Linked DNA regions of Lonchura striata. The protein of the gene in region 2 binds, or shares a complex with, the protein of the main gene of each other region. Links are inferred from orthologs where the notes say so. Each region holds a gene or a part of one and is shown on either strand. Other genes may lie near its edges.

Evidence for each region. The genes of interacting proteins can lie anywhere in the genome.
Region 1: THOC1 (region 2) and CHTOP share a complex: the UniProt entries of both Homo sapiens proteins name them as parts of the transcription/export (TREX) complex. The link is inferred for Lonchura striata from reciprocal best matches to the Homo sapiens genes THOC1 and CHTOP.

Annotation. Positions count from the first base shown.
Region 1 is NC_134635.1:3,147,180-3,154,567, reverse strand, and holds the start of CHTOP (chromatin target of PRMT1 protein), read left to right. Parts: upstream 1-4,387; 5' UTR 4,388-4,565; intron 4,566-5,833; 5' UTR 5,834-5,844; coding exon 5,845-5,909; intron 5,910-7,388. Other genes in the region: S100A1 (protein S100-A1), read left to right, coding at 2,805-2,945, 3,045-3,188. UniProt on the Homo sapiens protein: Plays an important role in the ligand-dependent activation of estrogen receptor target genes. May play a role in the silencing of fetal globin genes.
Region 2 is NC_134603.1:48,096,379-48,104,001, forward strand, and holds the start of THOC1 (THO complex subunit 1), read right to left. Parts: upstream 3,017-7,623; 5' UTR 2,980-3,016; coding exon 2,932-2,979; intron 1,932-2,931; coding exon 1,858-1,931; intron 1,751-1,857; coding exon 1,690-1,750; intron 778-1,689; coding exon 711-777; intron 1-710. UniProt on the Homo sapiens protein: Component of the THO subcomplex of the TREX complex which is thought to couple mRNA transcription, processing and nuclear export, and which specifically associates with spliced mRNA and not with unspliced pre-mRNA.

The DNA of each region.
Region 1 (7,388 bases), on a different chromosome or scaffold from region 2:
CTGGGACCATAACGGGGCTGAGAGTGGGAGCAGAGAGGGACTGGGACCATAACGGGGCTGAGAGTGGGAGCAGAGAGGGACTGGGACCATGGAGGGACTGAGGCCATGTAGGGACAGCGATGGGGGCCATATAGGGTCAGGGACCGTGTGGGAACTTGGACCATATAGGGACAGGACCATATAGGGACTTGGGCCATATAGGGACAGGACTTGGGCCATATAAGGACAGGATCATATAGGAACTCGAGCCATACAGGGTCAGGGACAGAACCATATAAGGACTTGGGCCATATAGGGACAGGAATGGGATCGTACAGGGACTTGGGCTATACAGGAATAGGAATGGGATCATTCGGGACTCGGGCCATATAGGACCACAGGACCCCGTGTGACAGGGTGACCATGTGCAGGGGCTCAGTGTCCACTTCCACATCCTGGTCCTGGGGTTCTCCACAGCCGGTGTGGCCCCACCAGGGATGGTGACCGTGTCCAGCGCGGTGCCCAGCCCGGCAGTGGCCCCTGCTGGCCCCATCGGGGCTCGCTGCAGGGACCCAGGGGCCGCGGCAGGAGCCCGGAGCCACCGCGGGGTCCCCAGCGCGGCCACCGCAGCTCCTCCCTCTCCAAAGCCTCTTCCAGAGCCCCGGCGATGGGATGGGGAGACAAGATGGGCCCAGCCCAGCACCGGGAACTGGAGCGACTGGTTTAGCTGGGTCAAAGTGGAGCAGGGGAGTCGCAGTGGCTGAAACCTGTTCCAAGCTGTGTGTAAAGCTCCTGGCATGTCCCTCACTGCTCCCGCTTCCCAGAGCTCGTCCTGGGAATCTGCCAGCCGTGCTGGGCGCGCTCTGCCCCGGCCGCAGGGTCCGGGACCCCCCGGGACCCCTCGGGACCCCCCCAGTGCTGGGGTTCGCCCTGGGGCTGCTGTCCCGAAGGGTTTGGGGGTCCCGCTGTCCCTCGGACACTGCGGCCGTGCCGCTGCCCGCAGTCCTGGCCCTGTCCCCTCTGTCCCCTGGCAGGGACCGGGGTCGGGGTTATTTTTGGGCAATGCCCGTCCCTGTCACGAGCAGCTGCTGGCCCGGTGACTCTCCCGGGCGTTCCCGGAATCCTGCCCGCCGCTCGGGGACCGGGACACGGCGAGTGAGTGCCACGGGCCCCTCCCAGTGCCCCCATGCCCAGCCTCGGGATTTGGGGATCCGGCCCCTCCCGGAGCCCCAGGGATGGAGCCGGGTCCTGCTGGGAGGCAGCTCCTGAGCCGCCCTTTGGGATCCCTGCTCCTCTCTGGAACTCGCAATTCCAGCTGGGACCCCTCCTCTGCTTGGGGACCCCCCAGTTTCCCCATTCCCTGGGCGCTGGGGAGGGTGCCCAGGCAGTTTTGGGGTGCCCAGGCAGGGCCCATCCTCAGCCGCAGGGACGGGAAGTGAGGGAGGTGGAAGCAGAGGCAACAGGATGTAATTAGCCCCAAATTAGGGCTGGAACCCGGCATGAGGAGCCCGGCACCACCCGGCCCTGCTGAAAATGCAGCTCCTGTTTGAGGGGGTCCCAATCCTGAGGGAGGCTGAGGGATCTGGGGGCTGAAGCACTTGGGGTTGAGGAATTGGGGTGATCAGGAATCTGGGGGATCAGGAATTCGGGGGATCAGGAATTTGGGGACTGAAGCATTTGGGGGCTGAGGAATTTGGGGGCTGAAGCATTTGAGGGATCAGGAATTTGGGGGATCAGGAATTTGAGGGCTGAGGAATTCGGGGGCTGAGGAATTCGGGAGCTGATCTCCCCGGGGATGCCGGAGCCGGGCAGGCTGCGGGCTCCATCCCGCGCGGATCCGGGGCCGTAACGGGATCCGCGGATTATCAGCATCACCCGGGCCGGCTCGGAGTCCGGTTTCCTGGCCGAGGCGTTGCTGCAGCAACGCCGGGCTCGGGATTGTGGGGCCTTTTCAGCCGGACAAGAGTCCTTTGAGCGCGGGGGGCCCCCGCGGAGTCACCCGATAGCCCCCGCCGCTCCCCCCGGGCCCCGCCGGCCCCGCGGCCGCTCCGAGGACACCGGATCCCTTCATCGGCCCCGGGAGCGGGGCTGGCCGCGGCCCCGGCCCCGCGGCGCTGACGGACGGGGGATGCCGGCGGTGCCCCCGCGGGGTCACGGCGTGGCCACCGCGGCCACCGGCGGGGGCGCCGGGCACTGAGCCCGGCGGGGGACCCCGGTGCCCGTGCCGGTGCCCGTGCCGGTGCCGGTGCCGGTGCCAGTGCCCGTGCCCGTGCCCATGCCGGTGCCGGTGCCGGTGCCCGTGCCGGTGCCCGTGCCCATGCCGGTGCCCGTGCCGGTGCCCGTGCCGGTGCCCGTGCCCGTGCCGGTGCCCGTGCCCGTGCCGGCCCTCCCTACATCCCCGGTTTTTCCACATCCCGGGGGCGGCGAGGGGCGCTCGGGGGTGGCACGGGGAGCCCCCCTGAAGTGGGGCTGTCTCCCCAGCCGTGTCCCCGGGGCCAGGCCGGGGTTGTGCCCCCCACGCCCGGCCCCGCGGGGCTGGCCGGCGGTGCCAGCCGGGCTGCCCAGCCCCGGTATCGGATCCTCCCGGAGGGAGGGGGCTTGGAGCTTATTTAACGGGCCCGGCCGGGCCGGGCGGGCGCACTCGGAGCACGGGGAGCTCAGGTGAGCACAGGTGTCCCCGTCCCCCCCAAACCTCCCCGCCCAGCCCCTGGGAACCCCCCCAGTCCTGCCCAGGGGGACCGCGGCCGCGGGTGGGTGACATGTGGGGGTGGCACCGAGACGGGGGGGCCGGTGGGTGACGTGCTGGGGGTCCCGCAGCCACAGCCATGGGATCGCAGCTGGAAGGGGCCATGGAGACCCTGATCAATGTGTTCCACCACTACTCGGGCAAGGAGGGGGACAAGTACAAGCTGAGCAAGAAGGAGCTCAAGGAGCTGCTGCAGAGCGAGCTGGGATGTTTCCTGGAGGTAACTGGGACCAGTTTGGGGTGCGGGGGTCTCCCTTTCCCCGTTCCCCGGGGGAACAGCGGCTGCCCAGCCCCAGGGCTCACCCTGTGTCCCCCCCAGACCCAGAAGGACGCGGGGGCCGTGGAGAAGATCATGCAGGACCTGGATGAGAACGGCGACGGGGAGGTGGATTTCCAGGAATTTGTGGTCCTGGTGGCCGCTCTGACCGTGGCCTGCAACAACTTCTTCTGGGAGAACGCCTGACCCCCCTCCTGCCGCAGCAGGACGTGGGCTCCCAAAATCCAGAGCCCCCCCGCCACCCTCCGGCTCACCCCCTCAGCATTCCCAGGGGATCCCACTGGGATCCAGCTGCACAATAAAGGCACAACCCTGCCCGAGGTGTGTCCGTGTGCGTCAGCTCCTTCCTTCATTCCTGCTCGGGATTCCTGCCCCATCCCCTGGGAATATCCCACTCTGGGCGCACAGGGAAAAGCCAGCCTGGGTCACCCCAGAAGCCTGGAGACAGCCCTGGCTCCACCCCAGGATCCACCCTGGGATCCACCCGGGATCCACCCTGGGATTCACCCTGGGATCCGCCCCGACCGCCCGGGGCAGGGTGACCCCAGGGCGGGGGATCCCGGCCGGTGTCAGGGTGTGGGACACGGGAGCCCCGGGATTTGGGAAGGGGGTGACAGGCCGGGACTCGCTGCCGGTGGCTCCGGAGGCGCCAGCACTGCTCCCGCGGGGCTGGAGGAACCGGTTGGGATCTCCCAGCCCACTGGGATGGGACGGTGGCCAAGGGCCCCACCAGGGCCACCAGCGCCATCATCTGCCCGCCATCCCGGCTTGGGATCGGCCCTGCCTGGGTGGGATGGACATCGGGACAGGGGCACGGGACAGGGGTCAAGGAGCAGCTGGGCAGTGCTCCCAGGGACATGGTGGGACACCAGGAGTGTCATGGGCAGGGGACTCCACGGTCCTTACAGACCCCTTCCAACTCCGCAACTCCCTAACGCCTGGATCCTATATGATTCCACAGCTGAGCATTTTGTGATTCCATAATTCCAAGATTCCATGGAGCTGACAGAGGAGCTGATAAAGCTGACACAATTCCGTGGGACGTGGGGATCCCAGCACCGCGTGACTCCGTGACTCCACAGCTCCATGACTCCACGGTTCCTTGACCCCCCTGACTCCCTCATCCCACGGTTCCATGACGGTTCCATGACGGTTCCATGACGGTTTCATGACGTTTCCATGACGTGACCATGACGACACCGCTCTCTATGACGTCACGGGGACTCCACCCCTACTCCCGCCAGAACGTTCCCGCCTCTCCCTCAGCCCCGCCCCTTTCCCCGCCCCCTCCGCCGCTCCACCAATCACCGCCCGGCCCGGGGGGGCTCGCGCGGCGGTGGGCGTGGCCGGGAGCGCGGCCGCCATTTCGGCGGGGGCGGGAGCGGCGCCGGCGCCATTTTGTCGCGGGCGGCTGAGGGAGAAGCGGCAGCGGCGGCGGCGGGCGGAGCTCAGCGCCAGCCCCGGCCCGCGCCGGCCCCACACCGGCCCCGCACTCACTCACCCGCCCGCCCGCCCGCCCGCCTGCTGGCCGAGCCACCGGAGACCTGGCGACCGTGTGCTTCGGTGAGTGACCGGCCCGGCTGCGCGGGGGCGGGGCGCCGGGGGCCGCTCCTGAGGGCCGGGGGGTCCCCTCAGGGCCCCCTCATAGCCCGGAGAGCCCCTCACGGTCGGGGCTTTTCCTCCGGAGCCGGGCCTGCGGGAGGCGGAGCGGTTTGTTTTTATTTTTTTTTAATCCTCAGGAAGAAAAATGCTTTAAGAACCACTTCAAATTGAAGAAGCTGCTGTATATTAAAACAAAATTATTATAATTAGTTTCAAGCAGCAATGAGGCTTTCTGTTGTCTCAGTTTCTGGTTGTAAATCCTCTCAATAAAACGTTTTTTTCAGGGTACTATAGAATAAACGCATCCCGGCCGTCATCCACTCATTCGATTTGCTGCTAATTATAAAATAAATTAATAAATCGATCTGCAGAGCTCGGGGGTTGGAGCCCAGCGTGTTTCTGTAGCATCCAGCACTGGGGGGGGATTTAAATCCCTACCCTGAGGGAATTGGAACCTCCATGTTTTTAAAGGGTACGATGCTTTTGTAGCATCGTCTTGGATTTTTATTCCCTGTGCCCTTAAAATTGGGGTTTGCACCTTGGTCATGCTAAGAACACGGGAAATGTGGAGGTGTCAGTGTGCAAAAGGCGTTTGGGTGCTATTTACACCTGGATTTGTATGTTATTACTCAGAAAAACGATAAGGTATTCACTGTAAAAATATAAATTTTTACTAAAGGTAAATTAAAATAACTCCCTTTTTTATTAAACCTGGTAGAGGGCTAGAAAACATTAAAAATGCATAAATACAATACCTATAACTAGCCTCACTCTTAGTTCTCTCCACAGAGAGCAGAAGTTTTTTAATGTTTAATCATGTAAATACGTAATAATTGTTTTAATTTGATGTCTTGGATTCTGTTTTGCATCTTTGCTCTGGAGGTGGCATTTGGTTGCCATCTTGCTCCTGGATTTTTGTGTTATTTTTCCTAATATTGCTGAAGCATTCACTGTAAAATGATATATTTTTGGTAAGGGAGAAATAAAGGAACTCCCTGATTTATTAAAACCGGGAGAAGACCAAAAAGCATTCAAAATCCCAGAATCAGAACAGAAAAATTCTGGCAGAGGGCTAAAAATCAGTGGGGAAAAATGAATATATTGCACATAACCTGCCCTAATCTTGATTTCCTTCACCCAAAGAGGCAGAACGGAAGGGATGTTTAGTATTTTGCAGTATAAATGTGTAATAAATGTCTAAATTTTCCCTTCTGGGCCCTGTTTTGCAGATTCTCTGAAGATGGCTGCACAGTCAGCACCGAAGGTCGTGCTAAAGAGCACCACCAAGATGTCTCTGAACGAGCGGTGAGGAAGCCAACGGCACCTTCAGCTCCTAAGAAATCATATATAATTTTTTTTTTTTTTTTTTACTTAATTCTCACTATCCAAAAATCCAAAAACCCACCGTGGTTTCCGCCCTCTTTTAACCTCGTCGAGCGAGCGGGTGCCTCCACCCCCGCCTTACCCTCCGACCCCTGCGGCACGCAAGGTTAAAAGGGCCAAAAATCCCGGAGGGATTGCTCCGTGTTTAGTGTTGATTCGCCTCGTAAATCCGGTGGGATGTGTTGTTGTAAGAGCAGAGACCAGCCTCACACCCTCCCTGTCTCTCCCACATGTTTTGACATTGGTATTTTGGCTCTGCTGCCGCGCCCGAGGCTCCCACCCGCCCGGGTGGGCCCTGTAAGAGGCCGGCGGCGGCCCCGGAACCGGCCCAAAGGCTCTTCTGGGCCTTGTAAGAGGCACCAGCTTCGCTTCACCTCCATCTCTCTCTGTCCTCGAGCTCTTCCCGTGGGTCATTCCGCTGGGTTTCTCCACGTGTGGCTCCTCTGTGACGACTAACGGGTGTCCTGCTGAGCATTTTGGGGTTAAACACGCTGGCCTGGGGCAGCTGCTCTGCCACTGAGCATTTTGGGGTTAAACACTGGAATGGAGCAGCTACTGTCCCACTGAGCATTTTGGGGTTAAACACCCTGGAATGGAGCAGCCACTGTCCCACTGAGCATTTTGGGGTTAAACACGCTGCCATGGGGTAACCACCATCCCACTGAGCATTCTGGGGTTAAACACCCTGGAATGGAGCAGCCACTGTCCTACTGAGCATTTTGGGGTTAAACACCCTGAAATGGGGCAGCCACTCTCCCACTGAGCATTTTTGGGTTACACACGCTGCCATGGGGTAACCACTGTCCCAGTGAGTATTTTGGGGTTAAACACCCTGAAATGGGGCAGCCACTCTCCCACTGAGCATTTTGGGGTTAAACACCCTGAAATGGGGCAGCCACTGTCCTACTGAGCATTTTGGGGTTAAACACCCTGGAATGGGGCAGCCACTCTCCCACTGAGCATTTTGGGGTTAAACACGCTGCCATGGGGTAACCACTGTCCCAGTGAGTATTTTGGGGTTAAACACGCTGCCATGGGGTAACCACTGTCCCAGTGAGTATTTTGGGGTTAAACACCCTGAAATGGGGCAGCCACTCTCCCACTGAGCATTTTGGGGTTAAACACGCTGCCATGGTGTAACCACTGTCCCAGTGAGCATTTTGGGGTTAAACACCCTGGAATGGAGCAGCCACTGTCCCAGTGAGCATTTTGGGGTTAAACACCCTGGAATGGGGCAGCTTTTGCTCCCTGCAGGCAGCTCAGGGACACCTTGCTGCCCCTTCCCCCCCGTCAGACCAAACTCCTCGTTTTTAGGATGGGTTTTGTTCGCCAGCTCCCAGGAAGCTGCTGGGGTGCTGCTGAGGAGTTTTATTTTCCGCCTCGCTGCGTCCATGGAGAAAA
Region 2 (7,623 bases):
TACACACATCCATGAAGCCTGTGAACCTTTTCAAGAACCACTAAAACAGAGCTCCAAGTCCATCCACCCATGCTCTGTAGGCAGTGACTGCTTTCCTCAAAGCACAGTTCTTGTTATTCTACAGCTCACAAAACATACAGCTTGTAATCTGTACTTACTAAAACAAACAATTTTTGATGAATAATGTGAACAAATAAAGAAAAGGAAGAGAGCAAAAGCCATTTCAGAGGAGAACAGCACACTGATGTCTGACACAAGCTGTCATTAAAACAGATTTAAATATGTAAAAACCAGCCATATACTGACAGGAGATGAGCACAGATACCCAGGAGATGTTATTTCTGCCTCTGCCAAGTCATTTTACCTCTCTGCCTCAGTGGTCTCATCTTTAAAATTATGATGGGAAACTTCTAATCATTTTAGAGTGCTGGACAAAGAAACTGCTAATCATGCTGCAACCAAACCCATTCATCTTTTTTTATTAACAAACAAACAAACAAAAATTTTCCAACATAAATGTCACATATATAACCAAATTTAATTATATTATACTTAATTTCTCTTCTGAAACAAATCCAAGCTTAACCACTAACATAAGAGCTATATATCACCAAATGTAATCACAGCAGATGATTTACAGAAATCAAGATTTTAAAATTTCCCTAAATGGTCTTTGAAACTGCCAATAGATTTGAAAGAGAAATGCTCACCTTCTGTGACTCCATTAATAGCAAGAGAAATAATTGCCAGGAGATTCTCACATGGAGCTTTGTTTATCTAAACAAAGAAAACAGTGTTGAAATTCTCCAAACTAACCATAATGTACCTAACAAAAGTAAAATTCTTGTTTCCAAGTAGGCATATTTAAAACAAATGCTGAAATTCAACTTTTCAAAACAATCTATGAAATCTGACCTATCAGTTAACTGCAGTTGAATTTTTATTGAAAATTAAACCTTTCCTGACTGCTTCCACCCACTAAAGACCCAAATGTACAGTCATTTACTTCTGAAAATTAGTATCCCACATTCAGACTTCATTTGAATATTACTTGATCATACATTATTTGACTCCTTTTATCATTCTTTTCAGCTGACAAGGCAGCTTTGTTACATATTAGTAACATACCACAAAAGAATTTTGATTTGAGGAGGGCAAAATATCTCAGTGCTCAAACCCCGCTGCCAGGGGCAGAGACACCTTTCACTAGCCCAGGTTGCTGAAAGCCCCATCCAACCTGACCTTGATCACTTCCACATTGGATGGAGCATCCAGAACATTTTGGGACAACTTGTTCCAGTGCCTCACCACCCTCACAGTGAAGAATTTCTTTCTGACATCTACTCCAAACCTACCCTTTCCACCCACTCTTAAAGAACAATTACTGAACGATGCATGTTTATGAATTAGAATTTTAAGATGTAGCAGACTTTCATAAGCATTACAAAGAACTGCTAGAAAAGGCTCAAACAGCTCTCACCATAGTGTGATGTCTGTAAAATACAAGATTCTACCAATCTCCTTGAATCATCTGTATTTCATCTCAATTACCTCACCATTACATAGCTCTTGTTTTTAATAAAGTGTTTTCTCACACTAAAGTAAATTGTTATTACATTAATACACGAGCCCGCTAATAGAAATTTGAGGCTGAAGAAGAGATAAGCTTCAGCAGTTTAAAATACTTACTATTTCTTCTTCTACAACAACTCTAAAAACTTGATCCAAGGTACACTTCTTTTCATTTTCACTGCAAAAGAAAACATTCCACCATAGTTAGTAACAACCCTCAGGCACAAGATTACTAAAACTGATCTAAATAGGTACTTTTTAAAAAATCAAGTGGCCTTTACTTACCTTCCAGGAACCTGGTTAAATGCATTCAACAATGGCTTGATGCTTTTGTTAATCAGAGCCTCTCTGGTGGATGTCTACCAAAATGCAAAGAAAGAAAAGCTAAGGAAAGCACAAAACTTAAAGCATCTTCCTCCTTCATCTGACAGTGGGCAGAAATACTAAGGAATCCTTCTGCCACACACCTTGTGTTAGTTTACAGAGAGAGCTTTGTAATAGGAAGGGCAAATAACAAGTACATGGGAAATTAAGCACGTGAGCTACAGAGCATCACACCTCAAACCTGGGGTAACAGTGTAGTGCAAACACCAACACTGTATCCATCATTGTCTCACGTGCTACACTCACAGCTTCAGGTGGTTATGGTGGTTTGGGACACAGATCAGAGAATATTCTGAGTCAGATGGGACCCACAAGGATTATCAAGTCCAACTCCTGGCTCTGCACAGACAGCCCCAAGAATCGCATCGTGTGCCTGAAAGCCTCTCGCTGTCTTCAAGGGAGTTAGTAACTCCTCCCAATTTTCTATCACCTTCAAACTTGCATAGGATCCCTGCAAGTCCTGCGTTTATGAAGATGTTTAAAAGCACACGACTCCTGCTAAGAAGATGGTCTAAAAATTACGACTTCCTGTTACAAATTCGGTCTAATGAATCGAGTGCTTGTGCCTCGAGCACTTCAGTGCAAATCCCATCCTCTTGTCTGACAACCTGGCTGGCAAACGCCGGGATCCAGAGGCCTGGGAACACACGGAGCCCCCAGCTCTGGGACAGGAAAGGCATCCTTCAGCAGAGGCAGCAAACGCAGTACGCCCGGACGTTTTGCTGCAGGAGGCACGCTACACTTTGTCTTTCACATTAATTCCGCTACCCTGGTGACTGGTCCCCCGGCCCCGGCCGAGCGGGCGTGCAGCCCGCCCTCGCTGCCGCCCCGCGCCGCCGCACCTCGGCCGCGCCCAGCTCCATCAGGGAGCGGCCGGGCCGCGGGCCCGGGGGCGCCGAGGCACAGCCGCGTCCCGTAGCCCGGCCCGAGCGGCAGGAATGGAGCGAAGGCCGGAGGGAGGCGGGGGAGGCTCACCGTGAAGCGGAGCCGCGCCTCGGGCAGGCTGAAGAGCGGCGGCGACATGTCGGCGGGCGGGCGGCGCGGCGGGCGCGCGCGGATGACGCCGCGGCCCCGCCCTCCCGGCGGGACGCGGCAGCGGCGGCGGGACGGGCCCGGCCGCGCCCAGCGGCGCCCGGCTGCGGCTCGGGAAACGCCGCCGGGACGGTCGGGTCCAGCCCCTAACCCGGCACTGCCCGGCCCGCCGCCAAAACGCGTCCGCAAGGGCCACATCCGCACGCTTCCAGAGATGGCGCCTCCGCCGCTTCCCTGGAGAGCCCGTTCCAATGCCCGGCAGCCCCGCCGGCGGGGCGGCCGTTCCCGGTGGCCAGGCTGAACCTCCCGGGGCACCGCCTGGGGCCGTTTGCTCCTGTCCCGTCGGTGTTGCCGGGGAGACGAGGCCGGCCCCGGCTGTGCACAGCCTCCTCCTTGCAGAGGGTGATGAGGTCTTCCCTTGACGTGCAGGTGTTAGAAGGATAAATGGCTTCTCGGTGGAATTGGCTTGTTAAAAGTTTAGTATTTGACATGGTTCAGTGATCTCGGATGGTCCGCTAAGCTTGAGGAGAAGGATGTGCCACTGAGAGTGGACACAAAAGAATGCAGCATTTGCAGGTCACCAGAAAGTTTGGCAGAACTCCCGAGATAAGGACGGAAGTGACAAAGCCAACTCTGCAACTGTGCTGGAATCGGCTGGAGCTGAGTATAAGGTAATTCTGACAGGGAGATTGCAACCACCGACCCATGGGCTCAGGAGAAGGCCTGGCCATAGCGATTAATTAGAGTGAGTATGAGGGAATTACTTAACTAACAGAAGATAGAATACAAATTAATAAGAGAACTATGCAACTTGTTGCCAGTGAACATTAATGCCTTTGTTTGCTAAAATGTATAAATAGGGAAACATATTGGTAGTCAGTGTGCTGGCTTTGTGGATTTGCTGCTCGGCAGTCCTCTGCTCAGGACTGTAAGTAAATAAAACACCTCGACTCAGATTGTGGACTGGCTTCTTAAATATCAGGTGAATGAACCTATTTTGAACAACAACCTGAGCCTCCCTTTTCCAGGCTAAGCAACCCCAGCTTCCTCAGCCACTCCTCATCAGACTGTGCCCAGACCTTTCACATTTCACTATTACCAAAGCTGAAATGACTCTACAGATGTAACTGTTGGTTATTTTTTTCCTGATAAAAAACCCTAGACCACAGTCTCCCACCATTTCCACTGAAGTAAAAATGATTAGGGACTTAATATCATCAGTAAAATCACCTCAGTGCTGACAATTTACAGGTTGAGCAATATCCTACAGATACCTCCTGGGCGACAGAAATATTTGATAAATTACATTTATCATGATCATAGAATCAGAATCATAGAATTGTCAGGGGTAGAAGTGACCTTGGTGTCCGGCCAAAAGCACAGGTACTGCCAAACTCTTGATCAAACGTGGGAAAAAGCTCAAACATCGAATATCCCGTTCATATGGGAAGAGGCGAGTAATATTAAAATTAAGTTTATTGTCATTATTAAGTGCAAATATTTAAAGTAAAGCATGAAAGGATAGATGGGAATATATGGGGCATGATTTATGGCGTGGTGTGGCTGTAGTTAGCGTTTGTACCGGGAGAGGGAAGTGTTTGCCCAGAAAAGGAAGATGCAGCGGGAGGGGCGGCCTGACCCGCGCTTGGGTGGCTGGTTCCAGGCGCTGCTCCGCTAATGGGGAGGTGGAGGCACCCTGCCAGCCCAGAGTTTGTCACCTCATCCATAACTGAAATCATTGCTTGACACTGCCTAAGAAACGTGGGCAATGCCAGAGGATGCCAATTCCTTTCAAACCATGGGGGAAGAGGCTTCATGACATTGAAAATAAGGCTCCACATGATCTGTCTTTTTTGAATGAGTCACCTGCGTGTGCTTTGAGACTTGCTGAATGTTGTTCATTCAGGCTTGGGCGAAAGTTTACTTCCCCCCTCCCCCTCCACTATTTCTCATCTCTTACTTTAATAAATTAAATAATATTATCAGCTGAATAAATGGCCATTCTAAATGAACAATTTGAAATTATTCTAGCCCCCATCTCTTGCTGTAAGAAAGAGAAACAAAGAAGAACTCTATAAATTGGTTATAAAAAAAGCTTTACACTTTAAAAAGATGATAGAAGTGAAAGTAAGGAGATACTGCTAAAGAAAATTGAGTCATTTTTGACTAGAAATATTCCTTAAGCCAAGACTAATGTTTTAGATGAACGGAGAGAACTGCCAACATACTGAAAAAGCAGTGCAGTATATTTGTTAATGAGTACAACATGACTGAGGAGTTTTTTTCCTTGGGGTAGGAACAGATAAAGAACAATGTGATTTAATAGTGGTTTATAGCCACCTCTTGTTCTGTACCGAATTTTTCCCGTTTGGAACGGTGTTACTTTCTCGCGGAGAGGTGGGGATGAGCGCTGGGCTGTTAGTGCTCCTGTTGTGCTGCGGACAGATGAGGCTGCAGTGCCTGAAGAAGCTCTCGCCCCAGCAGCTGCTGTGCACCCCGGGCAGAGCCCTGCCCTGCAATGTCAGCGGCGTGGCACTTCTGCTTGCCAACGTGGTGGTGTCACCGTGCAGCACCTGACAACATCGCTTAGAGCCATCCTCATCACCTTAACAGAGGTGCCAAACTGTGCTCTGGGCTGGCAGACAAAATCTGATTTGGGGGATCAGAAACTCAATCAGAGGAGTAGTGCTGCATACCCGTGAATTAAAATGCCGCAGTTATCCTGGATATAAAGAGCAGTCAGTGATATTGTCAATGTAGCTAATTATAAATTAGATATGTTAGTATGTTAGAAAAAGCTGTGTCTTCTGGTATGTGCTAGGTGGAAAGCTAGCACAGCTAAGGTGGGGAAAAAGAAGTAAATATTGCTTTCTATAATAGTATTATACGCCAAATAATTTTTCAGCCCAGATTTAAAGCTATCACCAGTTGAAAGCTCAGATAGATGAAAGCAATCAACAGCAACAGTATCTCAGGAGACCTGTGTACTCAGAGGTCAGTTGCTAGAACAGATGTTCTATCATTTTATGTCAAGAGGCTGTGTAGATGGAATTACAAAAAACTTCACCCAGATGCTGTCTTTTGGAGTAAAACCCCGTTCCAAGATCAATCTTTCAATTTTAATTTCTGTTACCACTTCTGCAGAAGGGCATATCTGGAGACCTGAAGCCTCCGATCTCTGATAGCCTGAGGGCTTAGTGCTTTGTTCTCCCTTCTTAGTTTCCAGCTCTCATGCTGAAGTGCTTTTCTTCTCAACCCATTTCCTTCCCCACCACCTTGCACACCCTTCAGTGCAGAACTACAGGGTGGATAAATTGCCTTAGGAGCCTGGTTTAACTAGCTTACCTGTTGTTTCCACACCAGTCATGGGAAGTTGCACAAGGCAGTTTTATCTTTTAAACATTGATGAATACAAGGTGTCCTACCTTAGGCACTTAATTTTAAGGTGGCGTCCTGCCAGTCACTGTAGCTTGTTACTGACTGTGAGGTACAATTAATAATGTGTGGACTGACGAAGGAGAAGCAAGATTAACACAAAGCACAGCCCTTCAGGAAAACTTAAATAACATTTTTATAACGTGAATAACAGAGAATCTTTCTGCATTTTATTAGTATATTACACTTTTCACCAAAATATGTATTCAACTTTTATGTTTGTCAAATCTCGTTATGATGTTCTTGTCCATTTAATACTTTCAGGGTTTCCTCTTGATTTATTGAATAAATTGCTGGGGAATATATACCATATGATCCCATTCTCTCATACCAGTTACAGCAGAAGTGTTTTATTGATATATTTTGTATTTTGGTGGCATTTTTAAAAATAATTTGGCAAGAGTACCTAGGAAGGGTTCATTTATGTAGAAGATTTTGGATTCACCTAGAAGACTTATATGCTTCACTTATGAATCTGAGAATGACTGATTTTTCTATTCTTCATCTTTATCTGGGATATGGGACTTGCTGGCATAGATCTCCTGGAATACTACCAGGCATTATACTTCATTTTTATCAATTTATATCTGCAGATAGGTGGAAATATGGTCACAAACAGCAGTGATTGTCAAATGGCCCACTAAGGACTTAAATTACCAAGACCAGGGATTTTACCTTAGAGTCAAAAACTTGCAAAAGTGTTTAGCATATATTGTTTGTTTTATCCCAATGTAGAGAATGTGGGGAGTTTTTGCCATAAGAATTTACTAAAATTCATATCTGTGTGCTACTAATACTATGGAAATCTTTTTTTCAGAAGCAAGGCATCACAATCTGGCTGCTATTCACAAAAACCATGCTATCAACAGCTCTTCCCTTCACATAGCAATATTTTTTTGGATTCTAACCTAGCAATACTACTGTGATTTCAGCAGAGAACTTGAATTAGTTGGACATTTTTTTAGCAAGAATTTCCTTACAATGTGTCTCTCATTTTGAGCATACGCCGACATGGAACCCCTTTAATTTAATTCATGAGTGCATTATAATGTCTAATTTAGTTATTAAAGAATGCAGGAAGGCATCTTCTGGACCAGATACCCATGCTTCTATACCACAAGTGTATGGGGTTACTTTCACATCTGCCAGTGGTATGAATTCTGAATGAATTCTGGTATGAATGTTGTTTTTTTGTGATTA